2 linked regions of the Neodiprion lecontei genome follow. The protein of the gene in region 2 binds, or shares a complex with, the protein of the main gene of each other region. Links are inferred from orthologs where the notes say so. Each region holds a gene or a part of one and is shown on either strand. Other genes may lie near its edges.

The links.
Region 1: the proteins of voltage-dependent calcium channel type A subunit alpha-1 (region 2) and uncharacterized protein LOC107224707 are in contact, whole or in part, in a crystal structure (PDB 4Z8A), measured with the Drosophila melanogaster proteins. The link is inferred for Neodiprion lecontei from reciprocal best matches to the Drosophila melanogaster genes cac and Rbp. Residues at the interface, in NP_001245639.1 of Drosophila melanogaster: Ile1688, Gly1689, Arg1690, Arg1691, Leu1692, Pro1693, Pro1694, Thr1695, Pro1696, Lys1698, Pro1699, Ser1700, Thr1701, Leu1702; in NP_732029.4 of Drosophila melanogaster: Ile1353, Leu1355, Tyr1356, Tyr1358, Leu1363, Pro1365, Asn1366, Val1367, Asp1368, Val1372, Glu1373, Thr1378, Gly1379, Asp1391, Gly1392, Phe1393, Leu1404, Pro1406, Ser1407, Asn1408, Phe1409.

The regions. Positions count from the first base shown.
Region 1 is NC_060262.1:35,314,392-35,324,138, forward strand, and holds the start of uncharacterized protein LOC107224707, read left to right. Parts: upstream 1-5,065; 5' UTR 5,066-5,351; coding exon 5,352-5,396; intron 5,397-5,798; exon of another isoform or gene 5,799-5,875; intron 5,876-5,887; exon of another isoform or gene 5,888-6,115; intron 6,116-6,224; coding exon 6,225-6,338; intron 6,339-7,451; coding exon 7,452-7,777; intron 7,778-8,185; coding exon 8,186-8,378; intron 8,379-8,563; coding exon 8,564-9,004; intron 9,005-9,276; coding exon 9,277-9,589; intron 9,590-9,697; coding exon 9,698-9,747. Other genes in the region: alpha-tocopherol transfer protein, read right to left, coding at 1-332, 1,433-1,707.
Region 2 is NC_060262.1:32,355,087-32,364,672, forward strand, and holds the start of voltage-dependent calcium channel type A subunit alpha-1, read left to right. Parts: upstream 1-4,751; 5' UTR 4,752-4,959; intron 4,960-6,049; 5' UTR 6,050-6,195; intron 6,196-9,586. Other genes in the region: histone-lysine N-methyltransferase EHMT2, read left to right, coding at 331-506, 1,136-1,298. UniProt on the Drosophila melanogaster protein: Voltage-sensitive calcium channels (VSCC) mediate the entry of calcium ions into excitable cells and are also involved in a variety of calcium-dependent processes, including muscle contraction, neurotransmitter release, gene expression, cell motility, cell division and cell death.

The sequences.
Region 1 (9,747 bases), about 3.0 Mb from region 2:
TGATCAGCGAAAGGACCTTATCCATAAACCAGACAGCGTTCAAAACGTGAATTCCCTTCAGTCTAACCGGAAGTCCCTCTTGTATATACTCGAAGAATTTTCGAATACTGGACACCGAAAGTCTGGTCAAGTGGCCCAATCTGACTCCTTGCATGTCAAATAAAAATATGTATCCCGGTGAACAGCCATCCGAGTATAGACTAGCATCAACTGCCATTGCCAGGAGCTTTATTCCATCATTGAATATGTACTGGCTGGGTCGAGAGTCCGCCAGTCGATGAAAAATTATCCTGTTTCCCTGTGGATCTGGTACCGGAAGGCCGACAAATTGTCTGAAACGCAAGATTCTTCAGCTCGGAAAATTCCGTTGAATACTCCCACGAAACGTAATCTGCATATAGACGTGAAAAAGCTAAATTCAAGCTGTATGGAAAGTAACCACGCCCGCAAATGCACATTTATACATATGTAGGTAAAACCTGAATTACAAGACTGTTCGGTTACATGCCTCAATTGCATAACGGAATGTGTGTGTAACAGTTCAACCGCAGCCAAAGGAATGTCGTAACAATTTGCGAAAAACACAGCTTGTTCAATACGTTGGTCAATACACATACCTGAGCTTTAAAAGTGGAAACAGTTTTTCATCGAGCGTTCAATTTTATTAAACTTACATGTGAAGGTGAATGCACATCCAGACGATGCACGTGACGTTTAAAGGAGACGTTCGAAATTTCATTTAGATATCATTTACATATCATAGTTCAAATGGAAGGCAGATTAATGATACTCCTTGCTGGATTACGTATAGAAACATATCATTGCGTCAGGGTACAACGTTGTTTGTGTCTCATATCGATTAAGAAATTAAACGGAAAAGATGTTTGACGACTTTCACAGCCACGTAGCTACAGGAAGTTTCAGAGCACAGACATTTCCCATTAAAGGGTATCAAGACACCTATTATCGGTATTTTACTAGCTGAAGCTGAAGACTGATGTACGAATCCCGCGAGTAAGCAAAATATGAACGGCTCACCGTGTATGAATGGAATTGTTTATCGGAGTGCAGCGGTATATTATAAGAATCTGGAGTATAGTAGACGGGAGGAGAAATTGATTGGATCGCAGTATAGGTATACGGTATGTTTGTAACCTTAGAGTCCTGTTATTGGCAGCTGTGTAAATTGCACTGTAGAAGTATTAATTGCCGATTCACGAAAAAAGCTATTACGTCTGCAATTCTGGAATATTACCATGGAAAACTTTCACTTATTCATTACTCCTGACTGTTACTCTACGCGGGAAAAGATACTGTGGTAGATCATATAAAATTATCTATTTAAATGAATTAGAGCGTACTGTAAAATCTTAGGTAAATCATCTGCTATGCGGGATAACAGTTACGAATATAATTAATTTGTCAAACGTACAGTGCTCGCAATGAATGCTGCAGACATTCCATCTTGGGATCACGGTTGGCAAAAAACTCGGGAATTGTCGCCCTCATCCTGTAGTAAACACTCATGCAGCGAAGGGTGGCTTCCCTGTCGTAATAGCAGCTATGGGTGAACAGAGCCAATTGTTCGACAGGAACACCCGGGATGCCTCTGGCTTCCGTCCACTTTTGCAGATCATCCAAGACCTCATCGGTGAGTTCCGGGTACTTGGCACGAGAGTCTTGAATCGTATGTCCCAAATGCATCATGACGAAGCAGCTTGAACAACTGTTAGTTTATGTTGGCTGTTTGACCTGACGATGAGCATTCACCTCACGCTACAACACAAGTGATGGGAGAAAAATGATACCTACGGTGATTGGAGAAAATTTTTTTTTATCCTTAATGATATAAAATGACAGCCACCAACTAACGTCGTATTGTCATGTTATAATTTTAGACTCGCTTGCGTTTTGATCCTTATCTAGTATAATGGACTTCACAATTGCGGAAAGCAATGTACGCAAAACGCAGTACGATAAAACGGTTCGTGGTATCGCTCGAGCAGTTACGATCAGAGACTGACCACAGTACATGCATGCGGTTTCGACGTACGAGTATCGTAATCCAGCCTATATTCCCTGAGCAGGGTGGCAACTTCTTCTCTTCATTTAATTAAGCATTGTCTGCGCCTTTGATTTAATTCCATGCGTCACTTCTCATTCATTACTATGCGTAACTATTTCCATAATGTCCCGGTATTTATATGTCTCACGTGTTTTGCATGTGACCGTACAGCGTATATAACATACGAATTATTCCCAGTTGCTCAGTTTCGCGGACGTAGGTGAATTATTCCGAATTTAAAATGCAGTAGGCCGCGCAGTAATCGTAAACATCATTTATACGCTCGGAAACCGTATAAGTCTGTTTGAGCCGCAATAAAATTGTTCAAAACTAAATAAGTAGGATATTGTATAACAAGGAGGCAAACTCGGCGAACAAGTACACGAGGCCAGAAAAGACCGTTGCCTTCTTGTTGCAAGCGATTCTATATGTATAAACAAGAGTATGTTACACGTTTTTTCACAAAGCTCGAATTCGAAGTTCGGGTCGCGTGATGTCAGATTTGTTCGCGACAGCGCATGCGCGCAGTACTGAAAAGACCACTTTCAACTCCTAGGATTTAAATGTGGTCTTTTCAGTACTCCGCGCAGGCGCATTCATAGACTAACCCAGCCGTCTTAAAAACGGGTATTTTCTGTACGAAAAACACACGTGGAAAAACGCGTAAAACATGCTCGCGTTATATAAATATGTTTCTTTTTTTTTTACTTGGAGCACATGAAATTTGCACATTCCTTTGCCACATCATACGTCGTGCGTGAACGAGCTGTATATTTATATTTTCGAGTACAGCCTAGCAGCGATTCGCGATGTCACGCTTTGACACAAACCTCAAAACTTGTAATTAGACGATCTACTGGATTTCATCGACTACATGATCGTGGTCGTCAGTTCAACAGACGTAACGAAGTTTCAGTTCAACATACAGACAGAAGAATGAATGACCCGATTACGATTTACAATTAGTTCGTTTTCCATTCCGCTGTGTTTCCGTATTTTGATTTTTACCCCGTAATACTTACAATTACATATTCTTCGTTAGTTTGCCATATTTCCAAGATGTTAGTTCATGCCAACGATACGAACATCTTAATCCTTGAACCATATCTGTAGTTTCCAGTGTGGTAGCATGGTCCAGTTATCGCGGTTTATAGTGATACTTCGTACCTTTTTCGTATAACGCAGGTACTAGAACTAGCATTCACGTATGAACTTGTTGCGGTGTTCCTCTTCATACGCACTATTAACATATTTTGCTGTAATACCGCAGTGTCAAATTATATACTTCAGCCTATGGAGGTAAACATCAACGCATTAGCTATGCCATTAATTAATTTAATTGTCAAATTAACAGCAGCAGTTCTGCATCCATTGCGTCACGTGTACTCATATTCTGATTCAAGCCACACTGCAGATTTTCGAACAAGATATTGGGTATTCATTTTTCATCCATCTCGGAATGGAGCAAGGCCCTCAAACTTAATCTGAGCGGTACCAAACATCCCGAGATCGGATCGTCTATCGGCTGCCAATTTATCCGCCATGTATAATCGAGAACTATGTTTGGACTAGCATAAGAAACATTCCATCACAGAATTCACGGAGAACGTTTTCTCGAATCAGTATAATACGTATAGTTCGTTCGATCGGTGAAAAATCCATTTATACTTGTACGACCACAATGTAAAAAAGTTTTCCGTTTGGCACGAAAATCTATACACATGTAAAGAAACGTACCGGATAATCATGATCCGTGATCTACGATTAAGCCCCCCGATTGGTATCATAGTCGCGTGAATCACGCTTGGAGATCTACCTATACAGGGGTTTGTAAAACATAGAAACGGCAGGGCCTTCGGGTGTGAGCAATCGGGCAAACCGAATACGGAAATTGCGTGCAGCAAAGACCTTATAGTAATCCCCGCTGCTGGGTAGGGGCGCAGTGGAAAGGCCGACGGTGGACGACGTTTCCGTTCGGTACCACACCGAGACGAGCCCGACGACCAATCGCGTACCGACGACGTACGTTCATTGATAAGCGCGTACTCCGGACGGTCGGGTGCGGGGTGTTCCTCGAATAGAACGTGACGTCATGTAGGCGGCCGGTAGCGCCGACGCCGAGGGCATATGCGCGAGCGTCGCCGGCCGTGATTTCGGGGTTTCGGGCGTCGAGCGGGGTGGTTTCAAAAAGGATTTCGGGGCAGCGCGGATCACGGCCCTTGCTGCTCGCGGATCGTCAAGGTGACCTTGGGCCTGCGATAACCGTTATACGTGGAATTATCACTCGGGGGGGATATGCCAGAGGGTTGCAGATATCGGAGATTGTCGGCTATATTGATTGGTCTTTTGTGCGAAAGCAGCCACTACACCTCCTGTCTAGCTCTCTTTCTCTAGGAGCGGAGCGCGTCATCGATCCGCGAGTGACCCATATCCGTTGCCACTCCTCCCACCTCCCAGCTCCCACCTCCCGCCACCCCCAACCCACCCCGCTCGCCTTTTTTCCCCTTGTGCCTCTCGCAGCAGCCCTGCCTGCTGCCAACGAGCAGATCTTCGCGGGTTCGGGATGATAATCCAGTGAAACTCACTCCGCGACGAACTCCACCTGCAACAGCAGCCCTGGCCTGCCAAAATCCCTTCAATTCGGTCATCGTAAGTTTCAAACTTAAGTCTTTATTTCTTCATTATTATCATGACGGTATAAGGCACCGTATAAGGATCTTCGCTGATCCTCATTCGCCCTCTCATTATCATTTTTACATCCAGTGTCGTGTCGGCTTTGTTACGGGCCCCGATATTACCCTCGATGGCGGTCTTGTCATTCGAGAGAAAATGATGCTACGAACATTCGGCTATGGCTACATCGTCTATCGTGATGATGGTAATGGTTGTGCAGGAGCATTGTAGTGGTCGTGGTTGTAGCGGTTCAGTGGTTTGTGCGCGCCCGGTACGCGGTTGGTGATCAATAAGCAGTGTCGTATCAATTCTGGGTGCTGTTCGGCGTTATCTGATGATATCTGAACGGTTGTTGCCTTCAGCCATCTTCACCCGACACCCTGGTCCAAAGTGTATATCTCGTTACAATTTCTCTCTCGAAAGTTCAACTTGTCCGAATTTCTGTCCCACTTGATTGCGATATCTGCAGTTACGGAATTATCGGTCTCGCTTCTTCCGCATAAAACGCGTTATTTTACCAGTATATCGAGGTGATTTCATAATAAATACGGAAATATTTCAAGTTTTATGAGAGAAGCTTGATAAGTCCCGTCAACGTTAAGCGTTCCAAAGTATGAAGACTCGTTATTGTCAGTTTCAACTTACGCTCAGTGATCAGGTACAAAGTGTAGTTCATCACGGTATTTCGTAAATTTGTAAGACATGCATCCGTGTGCATGAATGTGGCTCTGTATATTATTAACGGTAACAATATATAGTGCTGTTATTGCGAAATTGTTGCAAAAGATTGAAATAAAAAACAACAGTAGCAGGTAAAGGTTCAATAATCATGATGCAATGCTACAGCTGGTAGACAATTATAAGAATCATCGATCGTTCTGCCGATTTCGTCTCGTTTCCATTATCGTTCCATAGTAAATTTTCATTGCGACCCCCGTTCCGGAATTCGGTAGTCATCTAGGCGCGGAGACGACGATAAAGGTGGTGCCGCTCGCTCGAGTTACGCCACTGTAGACGAGTGGGGGGTGGTTTTCTCCGTCGGTTTTCGTCGTCCTCCGACGCCCGCCGTCGCGGCGTTCCGTCAGTGACGGTGGCGGGTTCCAGCAAACGGTGGGCCGACCCTTGGTCACTCGAACTGTACGTTACACGTCCGAAAGATAGTCGGGATTTGGGTTGAACCCGATTTTTTTGTTCCTCGCTTTTTCTGCATACTTTTTATCGCCTGTACCTTCATCTTCCGTCATACCCGTGGCTGAAGAATGATGACGAATAATACGAGACGACCTCAGAACGAAGGGTCACTTTTTTCTTGATAAACACCTCGACCCCTTTTTTTCTCTACCCTTTCATCAGAGTAGCCACTGTCTTGACCGCAATGTACAGTATACTATTTCTCCAACGAGATAGAGATTCTAGTGTCGGAAATTACATCCTCTGAATTGATTGTCGGGTTTAAGCAGTGATCAGATAACTGGATATGTTACAGTGCTGCGGCGTTGGAGGTGGAGGGGCATCGACGGGGCCCCAGCCGCCACAACTGCAGGGGACCAACACAAGAACCACCATCATGCAAGACCCCGTCCTTGAAACTATCCTCGAGGTGAGTAACTCAGGATGAACTGATTCGACTCGACGGGTGGTCCCGAGGGCTTATATTGTATCTTTCAATTTTCGAATTTTTAATCCGAGTTCACTGATTGGTCAAGCAATGATTCCGATTGGCTGAAAGACCGGTCAAATTTGAAAGTACGCAGCAGAATAGACCTTTTATGGAATGTTACCCTTATACTTTAGTGTGTATCGAATTGCATGATAGAGAAACAAAAGTACGCCGCACCTTTAATTAATGCAATAAATTCAAGTAACTAATTTATCTGACTATGCAGAATTATTATTCATATGCTGGGTATAACGAACGGAATTTAGAAAAGTTTAAATCTACCGTACTTGCCCGGTATCAGCTTCTAATAACTTTACGTAAATATTATGCAAGAGTTGATAGTATAATATGTTATAATGCACTTTCACGACACTCCCGTAGGGTCGCGTTTCAAACCCGCTCACACCGCACACGGTATGTGTACCAACGTGTACGTATTGCCGGCCTGTTAAGCTGAGCGAAAAATACCGAGGAATGTTTGATATGCGTTCAGTTGCCTAACGTAATTTTAATAACCTTTATGAGGCTACACGCTACCGTATTGGATTTTCAACACAACTTAATACCATGTAGCTCCGCAGGCTCAAAGGGCCTTTTCTGGGCTGATTCCTTTCCAATTTCATGATGGCGTTGCGCGTTCTTACGGTGGCGGCGATTTTCTAGCGCATGTCTTACTTCACTGCTAAACCGTCGTTTCCGAATGTTGAGCTTTAGACAGCGTTGACGCTTCAATAATACGCAAATCTCCTTAATTCGATTTTCGCTTATCGTACATATACTCCTCCAGCTTTAGTTAGATATTCAGCTATCCTACTCGACTTCGAATTTGACAGCTTAGCACAGCCGGCCACAGCAATGAAATCCACAGGCATGTCTATGCAACTATTTTTTGAACTACAATACAAGACCCTCAAATAACTCTGCGAATAACCGTAATTCTACCATGAGGTTCGGATGAATATCCGAAATATAACCCAACACTCTCAGCAATTATATATCTCTATCTTAAAATGAAATAATCTAACGTAGCAATTCGTTCGTTTCATTCTGTAGCAAATGCGAGAGGCCGAGGCCCGCAGAGCAGAATTGGAGAGGCAACATGCGGAGACGCAGGCGCAGTTACGTGACAAGTTAGCTGGCCGGTATCCAGGACCAGAGTCTGTTGAAGCACTGCAATCGAAGATTAGGGAACTCGAAAAGAAAACAGAACTCCAGATGGTTAGACACGAAGAACTGTCCCTAGAGCTGACCAGCTTGAGACGGGCACGTAGCAGAGGACCGGTTGCTAGCAACGTGACTTCAACAGTCCCTATGTCCACGTGGCCCCCTGCTGGTTCTGAAATTGATCGAATTATTGCCAAAATTGAACAGGACAACAGGTGATAGTCATGGTGTAATACAAATCTATGTGCTTCATTAAGCATTTCATTCAGCTTCATAACGCTACATACTTACCAGATTTTGCTAATAGAATCACCCACATAAACCAGGGAAATATATTGTACCATGTAAAATTAGATATGACACCTTATTACTAAAAGTAATCAATGTGTCCAGTGGTTCTTGTAATGTAAATATAAACTGATGTGGCTCAAATGACGCATCGAAAATTCAATTGCAATACACTGGTCGACCAAAAATATCCAGTTTGTGTGATATAAATAGTCAGAATGCTAGTAACGTAATAAGTAGAGGGTGTTATTTGAAAATGCCTTAGAAACCTTGTACCACCTACATTCATTCCATCTAATTCTTTCTGTCTTTTAATTTCGATTACACACACTCAGCTTAAGTAAAACCAGTGCCAGTAGGATTCTGCACGAGTTGGATCATTCGAGGAGCAACGTGACAACTCAACAGCCTTCTGGTTCCCAAAGTATATTACGTTCAAGTTCAGAAAATCTTCCCAACTTGGGGCAACATCAGCACCCTCCACATCCGCATGCATTAAACCTTGGTCTACCGTCACAAACATCACACGTGAGTTGTCATTGATAAATAAGCTACGATTTTATTGCTCTATAGAATATATAGAATGACTCTTTCAACACTAGTTTCTAATACCTGCACAGCTTTCTTTGTATGGTAACATTATTGTACTAACTTATCTGAAAAAATATTTGACAATATAGTAAGTTACTCATGCTGATATCTGTAATTAATAGTACGCTGGCTCTCCGATGCCATTAACACCAATGATGCCTGGCTGTCCACCGTTAACACCAAATGGTCCACCGTACCACTACAGCGAGCCGATTCCACCTGCACCATCTCTTTCAACTAGCCAATCACAGCCTGCGTTTCAGCAGAAGCTACAACAATATCAGCAACAACAACAGCAACAGCAGCACGAACTATCAAGCTCGCACTCACAAGGCACCCTACCGTCTCAACAGAAACAACTACAAACACACACGCAGTTTTCCGGCAGTCAATATCAAGAAAGTTATCCACATACACAAACGTACCAACAACCAATACAGCAACAACAACATCCTGTTTCAACTTCGTACTTAACTTCTGCTACCGGAGGTCAGAATGTCATGCCTCATTATACGCAACCGAGTCAGACAAATCAAGGCTATCAACTCAACGGTACTCAACAGGTAGGTTTTTCCAGCAACAATAATACGAACATTGGTCAAGAATTTTTCCAAGCATGTTTCTTTGCTTTTTATTACACGCGAATACCTGGTGAATAAAAAATTGGAAAACATAGTCATTATAAAATATTGTAATATACTAGCAAGTTAAGATTCATGGTAAAGAAGACCCAGGCAAAATGTACATGATGAACAGTGAAAATATGTAGATTTCATAAAAATGACTTACATCCTCTAATTTTATCATGTCAATGGATTATTTTTTATCTCATTAGCAGACAACATACCCAACGCTGTCCATGACTTCTCATCCCAATGGAACTTACAACTCTGTAACAACCAGTTATGCATCGCAACTGACTCATCACAACTATTCTGGACCACATACAAGTATCCCCCAGACAACACTTTCTTCTCTTCCACCATATTCGACAACAACACCTGCCTATCACTCAACATTGGGTACCTTGACTAGCTCCTCACAAAATATGCTTCCTTTTTCAACTGGGCAGAGCACGTTTTCGACTGCTGGTTCTAACTACTCTACAGTTGGAACAAATGCATACGGCACGTCAGGAGTGAACACAGGTATAAATGATGTACCACTGATTAAAAAAATTCTCCTACCAATTTTTCACACAGCATACAACTTATTTGTATCATACAAGTTCATAACTTGTTTTTATTACAAATTAGGTCCTACTTCAAGTGGCTTATTACAAGCTATAGGAGATCCCCTCCAAGCT
Region 2 (9,586 bases):
GATGGGTTAGAATCGACTTTACTCAGGTATAAGTTTGTTGGAACCAGTTTTTGCTTGAACAACTCAATATGTTTTGACGGAATAAAACTTGGAAAAGTGATCCTTAAAGTTTCAAGAGTATTCTTAACTAGGTTAAACTTACGTGAAATCACTAACAGGGAGACAAGCGTACAATTTTATTGAGGATGCTGCTGATTCCAAATGAGTTTTGTTTTATAATACATAAGAATAAGTTTTTTCACTTATTTTTCGTCAAATTTTATTGAGTCTGGAGTGCCATGTTTAAACATATGAAAAGGTACAAGGGTGTGATTATTTGTTTTCATTTAGGATGGAGAAACGTACTGCATAGATGCAAGACGCTACGGTAATCTTGCTCGTTTCATAAACCATTCTTGTGCACCTAATCTTCTGCCTGTCCGAGTATTCGTTGAGCACCAAGATCTTCATTTTCCTAGGATCGCATTCTTTGCCAACCGAGATATTGATGCTGACGAAGAACTTGGGTACGTTAAACGAAACTGTTCGTCGTGTTAAGGAAGCAGTAATGGCAGTGATGTTTGTACGAATATTGTCGTGTAAAATAAAAGCTTTTTCTTTTGTTTTCGTTGCCTCATCATTATTATACTTCGTCATCATAATAGATCATTACTACTTAGAACCACCGCTTAAAATTGTGATGAATTTGTTCATTTTCTCTCTGTCGTCATGGTAGATCGGGCATTCAGTGTATTCAATTGCTCTGTTATGGGATAAAAAGTGTCGTAACTCACATTTAATTTTCAATTACGTATTTGCAATCATACACGATTCCAAAAATAAAGTTGATCTCAAATTATGACGATTGTTGAACTAATTTGAAAAATCCATAATCATGTCATGTCATGTCATCACTTAATACCACCCCTTTCAATTGATCCAAGGTAGGTAAGTCTTGGACAAATGTATCCACTCTGCAGTGAACGTATGCAATACCATCCTTTATGGGTAGTAAATATATGTCGTAAACGGAAAAGCTTAAAAAAAAGTTAGTGAAGTAGTTGGTATTATCGTGAATCTTGTGTTTCTCTTTATCTTCAACATCTTTATTTATATTAAATTATGCATATAAATGTATCGAAATTCCTTGTTTCAGTTTTGATTATGGCGAAAAGTTCTGGATTATAAAGTGCAAGTCATTTACTTGTACCTGTGGTGCTGAAGCCTGTCGATATTCGGAAACTACAATTCAATTCACGCTGGATAATTACAGAAGAAAAATTCAACAGGAGGAGCAGCTTGCTGCACAACTATCTTAATCAAAGACTTTTAGTTGGTGATTTTAGAAGATGTTGCGAGTTTTCTGTGAAATGTTTTCAAATGAAAAATGAATGACAAAGTTGAGCGTAAAAAATAATAGTAACAATGAAATGTCGATTAAAAAATTTTAAATCCCTGGAAGGCCTGATGTTATTCTGGCAGCATAGTTAACATAATTCAAAAGAGTTATACTGTCGACTGTTGTTTATCACGTGGACCATTATCATAATTTGATGTTGAAGCACCACTGCAACCTAATTATAGGTAATTAAGTTCATTTCGTTTAAGGTATTGGAATTTTGAAAGGGGTTGTAATTTCGTAACTGTTAAACTAATAGTAAAATTGCTGCAACCGCTTCAACTATAGATAAAATGCTTATTGATCATAGAAATCCTGGCGTCTTGAAACAGGGGAAAAAATGGAATATTTTGTCAGAGTTAATTCTGAAATTTGTAATATTCCTATGAAAAACTTGACATTGGTATAAAGTTTCTTATTCCAATTAAACTGGATACTCTAATGCACGTATTTATGAGGTATCTATATACGTTTTGCTTCAAGTAATAAATTCTTCCAAGGTTGAGATGAGTAATCAATGCATAAAACAATGAAATCGAATATATGAGTACAAAATTACTGTAAACGCTCGGATAAGATGTTTATGGAATTTTTAATTTGTTTCTTATAATTGCTATTTTAGGTATGATGATATTAATTTAAGAATTAGGTCATTATGTTTCTTCGATACCAAGCGTCGAGCTGCGGAATTTAGGCCTAATTTCGTCGACGAATATGAGGTGTAAATGTGATGTGAGGTGTAAACTCTATATGTGTATAGAGAGATCTATATATGTATATATATATATATACGTATATAGAGTATAAGTATATATACACACACATACATATACTGCCAGGATTTTTCTAGCTTGCGTTTTAGAAAATTGAAGGTCTGGAGTATATGAAACGAAATGTTTGTCATATTATGCAATTAAAAATTTACATCACTTGAAATGATTTACATGAGTTGTATACTATATCACAGCTGGTGCGGTTAACGTTTTTAAACGCGAAAACGGAACTGAAATATACTTTTGAAGTATATGATAAATATTCTCAATTGAATGTTTATTCATAAATCACGATACTTGTGCGGATAAATTGAAACAAATCATTATTATAATATGATAATCTGTGTAAAATAAATGTTTTTTTTTATTTGTACAAATAAAAAGGTTTTGATATTGTAAATCGTGACTGCAATTTCTAGCTTTGCATATTGTCGAAGTGCCGACTACGTAGATTTAATTATTTTGGTTTTCATCGTTACTGTGACGATTTTGGTACAATACATTTTTTCGGGCAATATCATTGGAGTTTCGTATCATTGTGTGCTCTAATATTTTGTTATTCAATCGTTGACCCCACTTGTTTTAATTCGATGAACCCTGACTTCTCCTCTGATGTGTTTAAAAGTTACGTACGTTGATTCAGGAACATGCAATTCGAATTATCGAAAATTATAATTAGACATATGGTAAAATTTACCACCTTGGTATCACTTCCTAATTAATAATTTTGACTTTCGTAGAGAGAACTGGCCCGCATAATACGGAACCGCAGAACCACACAGATTGGATGCACGGTCGGTTTACAGACGGCTGTCTGGCCCTGATACCATCCATTCGCAACGAGACACATTGTTATTGAGTATAGGTAACAATTGGTTCTTCAACCGTAATTAATTGGGTGAGCAAATAACAGAGTAATTTTCATTCGAAGATTATCGGTATCCCGGGGTATCGAACCTTTGTTAGCTAATGAATGGCTCCGCCGTGTAAATAATCCGCCCTAGTCACGTAAGAATTAGCTGGAGATTATTGTTGACGTCGTACAATTTATACGCTTGTAATTAAGACAATTTAACACCAAAACTAATGACGTTTCTTTCTACCGGTGCAACGATTAATTGTACTTACGAGGGCTAATTGGTTCAAGGCACATTTTTCATTAAACTGAATCAGCTCAATGTTGAATATATATTAAGCGTATCTTATATCTATAGTTATATATATTTTTTTGTATATCTGACACTTGTCGGACTGATGTCTTTTCTTTTTTTTTTTGCTAATTTTAGGAGATGAGCACGTTGTTCACCTGTGATTACCCATTTCAGAATTTAATTTGGCTTTCCAGTCCAGTATTGTGCAATGCTAATTGAAAAGTGTAAAAGATTTAGCTAATATAAAAAAAAAAACTCATGTCGACTAAAAATTCATACTGTTCGTCAAGGCTTTATTCTGAAATTTTTAATTACATTGACATTATATTACATTACATCATCCGTGGTTTTTATTTGCTATTTGTAAATAATCATCGAAAATATCGGCCATCCAGAGCTGACCTTCGACATAGCTGATGAGTAGAAAGGACCTCTACAAACGATGGGAGTGTTTATCACCCTGCGAAAAGTTCCGGGGGAATGCAGGTCACGTAGGTTCGAGAGGAGCCTCTTCACGCCTCACCGTACGGAACTGCAAATGATTGCCTCGTTTAGCTGGGAATCATGTCAAATAAAAACTTTCTGCGTCGACAGGCAATTGAAACGAAGGGGAGTTTGCCTCTTATACACTCATGCCGGTGCGCTTGTTGAAACGCTTCTACTGCATTATTATATCGTGAGTTTATCGAATAAATTAATGTTCATTGATGGATGCTTCGTAAGTGCGCGTGTTTATATCCATACACATTCGTTACTGTATACACGGTAATATGGCTCTCAGCTAATAAGCAATTTACCAAAAAGCAATTTTGGTGATACGCTCTAGTGGTTGATCGTTTATTGACATCAAGTACATAAAAAAACTTAACTTTCCCGTTGCATAAATTCATCATCACACACTCCGGTAAAACCGTAAAACCGTGCGTAACAGCACCAGGAAATATACTCCGTACATATTTGTAATAACTCCTCTATATTCTTCATACAAACGTTTGTTATAAGGCAAACAGTATAAGTGCCAGAATAAGTGATTTGACGTCGCACTGTTAGATTCTGGTGCTTTTCATTGCGCAGGGAAAAAAATTGTTTTGACACTTGACATTTTACGTAGAGTCAAGTCCCTCGTGGTTTATTTTTTCACCTTCAATACGCGTCATTAATTTGTGATGTTTCTTATTACTGCGGAATTATACGTCGCGTCGCGAACGTACAAGGGAGGAAGTCGACGGCCGACAAGACGCGCAGCTGCTACGTATTCCGCGATCGGTGTGTGTATTCATGCCCTAATTTCAACGTATGCGGTAGAAGCTTCATTCTCGTAAGAATGGAGCGAGGAAAACGAAGATGTAGAAGAAACGTCCTTTTCCTATACATCGACAAGGCCGTAGGCCGAACCTTTCGTGCCGATATCAACAGTAAACAAAAGAATGTGCGAGGTACACCACTGGCAGTCGACTCGGATCTCTCGCAGAGGCAAGAGTGCCGACGCGATTTTACGCGATTACACCTAATGTTTACCATCGTGTTTAATACGTGGCAATAATAATTGTGCTTCGAGTATTGTGAGATGTGCTTTTTAGTGAATTAGTCTTCTGCTCTGTGGTAAAGGGGATGTTTCCTCTTCGTCGATTCTAACGATAAGTGGATTATCTGAATGGTAAGCTTGAACATACCGGAAAAAGGATTTCTCGTCTCCAGATATTAGCATTTTAATAACGCGTGCATTTTGTCGACAAGGATAGTGCGGTGTCGACGCATTGAATTATTTGCGCGGAAACTCTCGGGGATATATCTATGGTATATAACTATATACGTACCTATACGCAATTTATTTGATTTGAATATGATGGCGAGCAATTGCATTGTCTGTTTTAAAACTCACGCGGTGGGTGAACGATAAATGAATAATGCATGTCATTACGATAAATTTTTAACGATTCGATTGTAATGTGATCCGGTGAATGTGGGCTGTAATTTTGAAAATCGCGTGATCTAATCACCTGCTGGTATTGATCCGAAATATTGAGGTAATGCAGGTGTATCTCCTTAGAAGGTATAACTTGTTATAGCTTGAGGCAATTATACGGAAATTACAAACGAAGCTTGATTTTATAATAAATGAAATACCGAAACACAAGGGGAAAAGAATACGATTTATTATTCTTTTAGAATTTTTTGCTTCTTGTTTATTCTTCCGAAATGAGTTTTAGGCTGGTGCGAGTATGTTTTATAACTTTCGATCCCTTACCTCCAAACTCCCCTCCCTCTCAACAAGATTGATTGTACGCGATAATAGGTTCCCACAGTTTCTGTATAAGTTTAAGATCACTTATATATTGAAAAAAATTAAATTCTTACATAACGATCGTGCGCAACAAATTAATATCACATGCTTTCTGTATACGATTTGCACTATAAATCGAACCGACCGGAGGAAACGTCGAAACAAAAAATACGGAGGTGGAAAAAAACAAGAAATCTAAGGGATTTGGAGATTGTCTTTGAGACGGCGTTTGGCGGTATGCGATTGGTTGTAACTCGCGATTGCGCAGGCGCTGGCTTGAATTTCATTGGTTACGAGCTTGCGGAGTTCGAAATTCAATTGAAAGCGCCAGTTAGTGTAGCGACCGTGCGGCGCTTGCAGGCGCTACGCGTAGCCTGCGTAGCTTTAGTTAACGGTGCGCGCGAGTGAATTTTTAGTGGATATCGAACAATCGTTTATGTGATAAATAATGAAATTATTCCAGAAAATCAGTGATAGTGGTAAGCGGGTGGTGATTAATGTTGAAATAGAGGAATAGAAAAGACGACCAGAAGAATAGAATGCCCAGCTGACGGATACCCGATCTTTTTAACACTCAAGTGGAACTGAAGATTGCAGAGACGGTGGAAGGTAAGTTTTACAACGCAACAATTCAGTCTTTCATTGTCCATACCGAATTCCTCTCGTTACACTCGCTTGTATTCAATGAGACCAATTTTTGCTACCCCGTCGCTCCGCTTCTCTGTTAATTTTTACTACGATTTACCCATCTATCCGTAGGGTATAAAGCATTTTCCCATCGCCTGCTGTACACGAAAAATTGTTCGTAATCAAACTTCCTCGGCACAATGCCGAGTTGACAGTTCAGTATTTGCAATATTTGCGATATTTTTAGCACGTATAGATAGAATACCTGTTGCGTACAAATTGGATCGGGTAGAGTATCTTGATCGGCAAGCGAAGTTTTTATCAGGTACAAAGTAATCTCAAAGGTTGGTGCTCGTCTGAGGACTTTCAACTACCGTTGAGAAGGAAATGTCATTCTGTGAGTCTGAATTACCGGAACGAGTATTAGTCCAGAGCAATCCACTCGACTCGACAATGTTCTCGACATCCTTTTGTTACTTTGTCGGAGGGGAAGCTGTTTGCCGATTGTGTAAGATCGTACCGATATATGCGCGGGGGTCCTTCAGGTGTGTTGGTTACAAGGAAAAATCTCGGCAATGAGGGTGGGATAAAAGAATAGCGAGGGGGGCAAAAGCGAGGGACCTACAATAGGCATTGGACGAGTATATAGCGAACGCGTCAGTTTTGCATTTGCAGAATTTCGGAATTCAAACGCCCCGAGTTTGACGAAGTATCGCAAATTCCCTATCGATCTGCGGGTGTGTTACTTGGATAATTTTCAAACAAAATAAGTAAATAGAGTGAAACAAGTAAGTAATTAAAATAAGGAACGCTGCAACAGGTACAAACAAATTTTGTCGCTTGTATTCCGAAATCGTATGGCAGGAAACAATAAACTCCCTCGATTACTTTCCGTTGAATGATATCTACCTGCGAAGTGTTCATGTAAAAGTTGAGTGGAATTCTCTCGAACCAATGTTCACTTAAAGGTGTAGAAAGATACTCACAATTTGTTTTCAAACGAATTCAGAAGTCTCAGTAAGGCCTTATTAAATAAAAAAGAATAAAAAAAAAATGAAGTTGTTAAATTACAAGGGGGAAAAAAGTTTGAAAGTCTACAGTAGAAAAAATGAGTGGTTTATTTCAATTTAACGATTGAACGTGTAATGCGTTCTAGTATGGTATAAGCGCTGTAGCATTTGAATTTTTCAATCGAAAAATAAGCTTAAAAAAAATTCAAAATAGCTATAACGGGACAATATACGGGGTAGAAATCCCAAGGGAGAACTAAGTTAAACATCTGAGAACGGATAAACATGGATAAAGATCAAAATACAAGACAGAAGAGATCTTAACATACGGAAATACCGAGTAACGCTAAACGTTTCAGATTCTACAGGTAGCATTGATCGGAGCAAGACAATATGCGATAGCAGCTTCCAGGTGATTTACTTGAAAAGTTACCCAAGTCACGTTGAAACTACGATGCACAATAACTCTCCGTTTATGGGCCCGGTAATAAGATAGTAGGTATATACACTTTTCAAATGGGTAAATTGACTTTCGGATGAGAATTGAGCTTGCAAGATATTATAACGAGGCAAAAATTAATGAGCAGAAAAATGACAGGGCGAAAGTAAAGGACTATTTATTAACGTGACGGGAGATTTCGATTTGCAAAAGCTCTACGCGCTCTAGCTGTCAGGTGCAAAAGTTGAGTTCGTAAAATTTGCAAAAAAATGAAAACGGTGATTAATAGATGTTCGGAAGAATGCCGGGGATAAAGAGGAATTGTTCGCGGATTCTCGCGCGGGTGACAAATTACGCGTACACCTAATACTCTCGGTTCACGGTCCGATTTCCGGTTCGTATTGTAGTCTTGTGAATTACCGACGGACCCAGTTGCGTCGGGTTCCCTCTTCATGGGCTCGGTCACTCCTGAAGTTGATTACCGAATCGCGGAGATAAGCATCAGCCGTCAACAATTTCGAGTGGAAGCACTAAAAGTAAATCAGCGAGAAATGACAAACAGCTAAAAGCGTTTCGGACCGGAAGGATCGAATAGGTTTTCGCAAATCAATACGGTTAATGGAAAATTGATTGTACACCACGCGCTGGACAAATCACCGATGCGTGGTTGAAATTAAAACGTAGAAGCGAATCACTTGTATAATAGTTGCTGGTATTTTTTTGGCTGGATGTGAAGGTTCTTGGAATCGCGAAAAAAAAAAAAATGTTAAAAAAAAGTCACAGCTTTTAACACACATGAGCAGGAATAAAATTTCATGAGCTTATGACGGGCAGTGAGAGTAATTGAATGGAGGTTTAGCTTAGTAAAGAGAATGGATAAATATGAAATAAAGAAGAAATAAAAATCGAAAATATAATATTAACATTATTATTATTACGTTTATAATACATTATATATATTATTAACAGAGCGCGCTAAAAGTGTGTGGAAAGAACTCTGGCTAATTTTTATTCCACCTGCAGAGATTTTTAATCTTAGAAAGTACGACAAACTGGAAATTTTTCAGTTGTCGACTTAAAATGTTCGCAATATATTTACAGATGATTATTTCTTATCGTATAATCCTTCTACTCACGAAAATGCCATGTTTGTGCGTCATAGTTATAAAAAGAATAAGAATTCTGAAAAATGCTTCGTGAGCAGGATTTGTGAAAGGTGGTATAAATTGAGCCCTGTATATAAAAATAGAAGGGATGAAATTCGCCGGTATAACTGAGATATATGTATACCGGCCGGGTGATGGGTATGGATGAGAATAAGACGCATTGAAGTTTACAACTGTGGAAAATGGTGTTGGGTCGCGTCTGACTTGTCGTGCGTCAAGAGATAAAAAATATTGGCTCAGAGTGAGGATTGTCAAACCGGTTACGAACTCGCGAAGCTAATCCTCAATTCGATGTTATTGATTTTTTCACCAATCATGTTTTATCCGAAGATAAATATACGCTGCAGGCGTTCCACATTTATTGCGTGCAAATAATCGAGTACCTGTAAAAAAATTGGTGTGAAAATTCTCGTGCTGTTGATTTAGTCCACAGTCGAAGCTTTTCAAATGAATACGAATCCGCGGCATTCATTCAGCTGCAAATCATATTGGATCGAAGAAATAAAATCGCGAAGAGAGCCATCCACAATTTGGAACAAATAAATTGCTAGAAATGTAAAAATACGTCGCAACTCAAATGAATAATTTATCCGACGTTCTGTAAAAAGTCTACATAAGTATGTATATCTTGAATAAACGAAACTCGCAATGTTGAGTAAAGAAATTATTATTAGTCGAACGCAATGAGTTTTCAAGTTTCTAACAAAATCTTCTTTTCTACTGTATCCAGCTCATTTCCGTAGAATCAAATAAATATA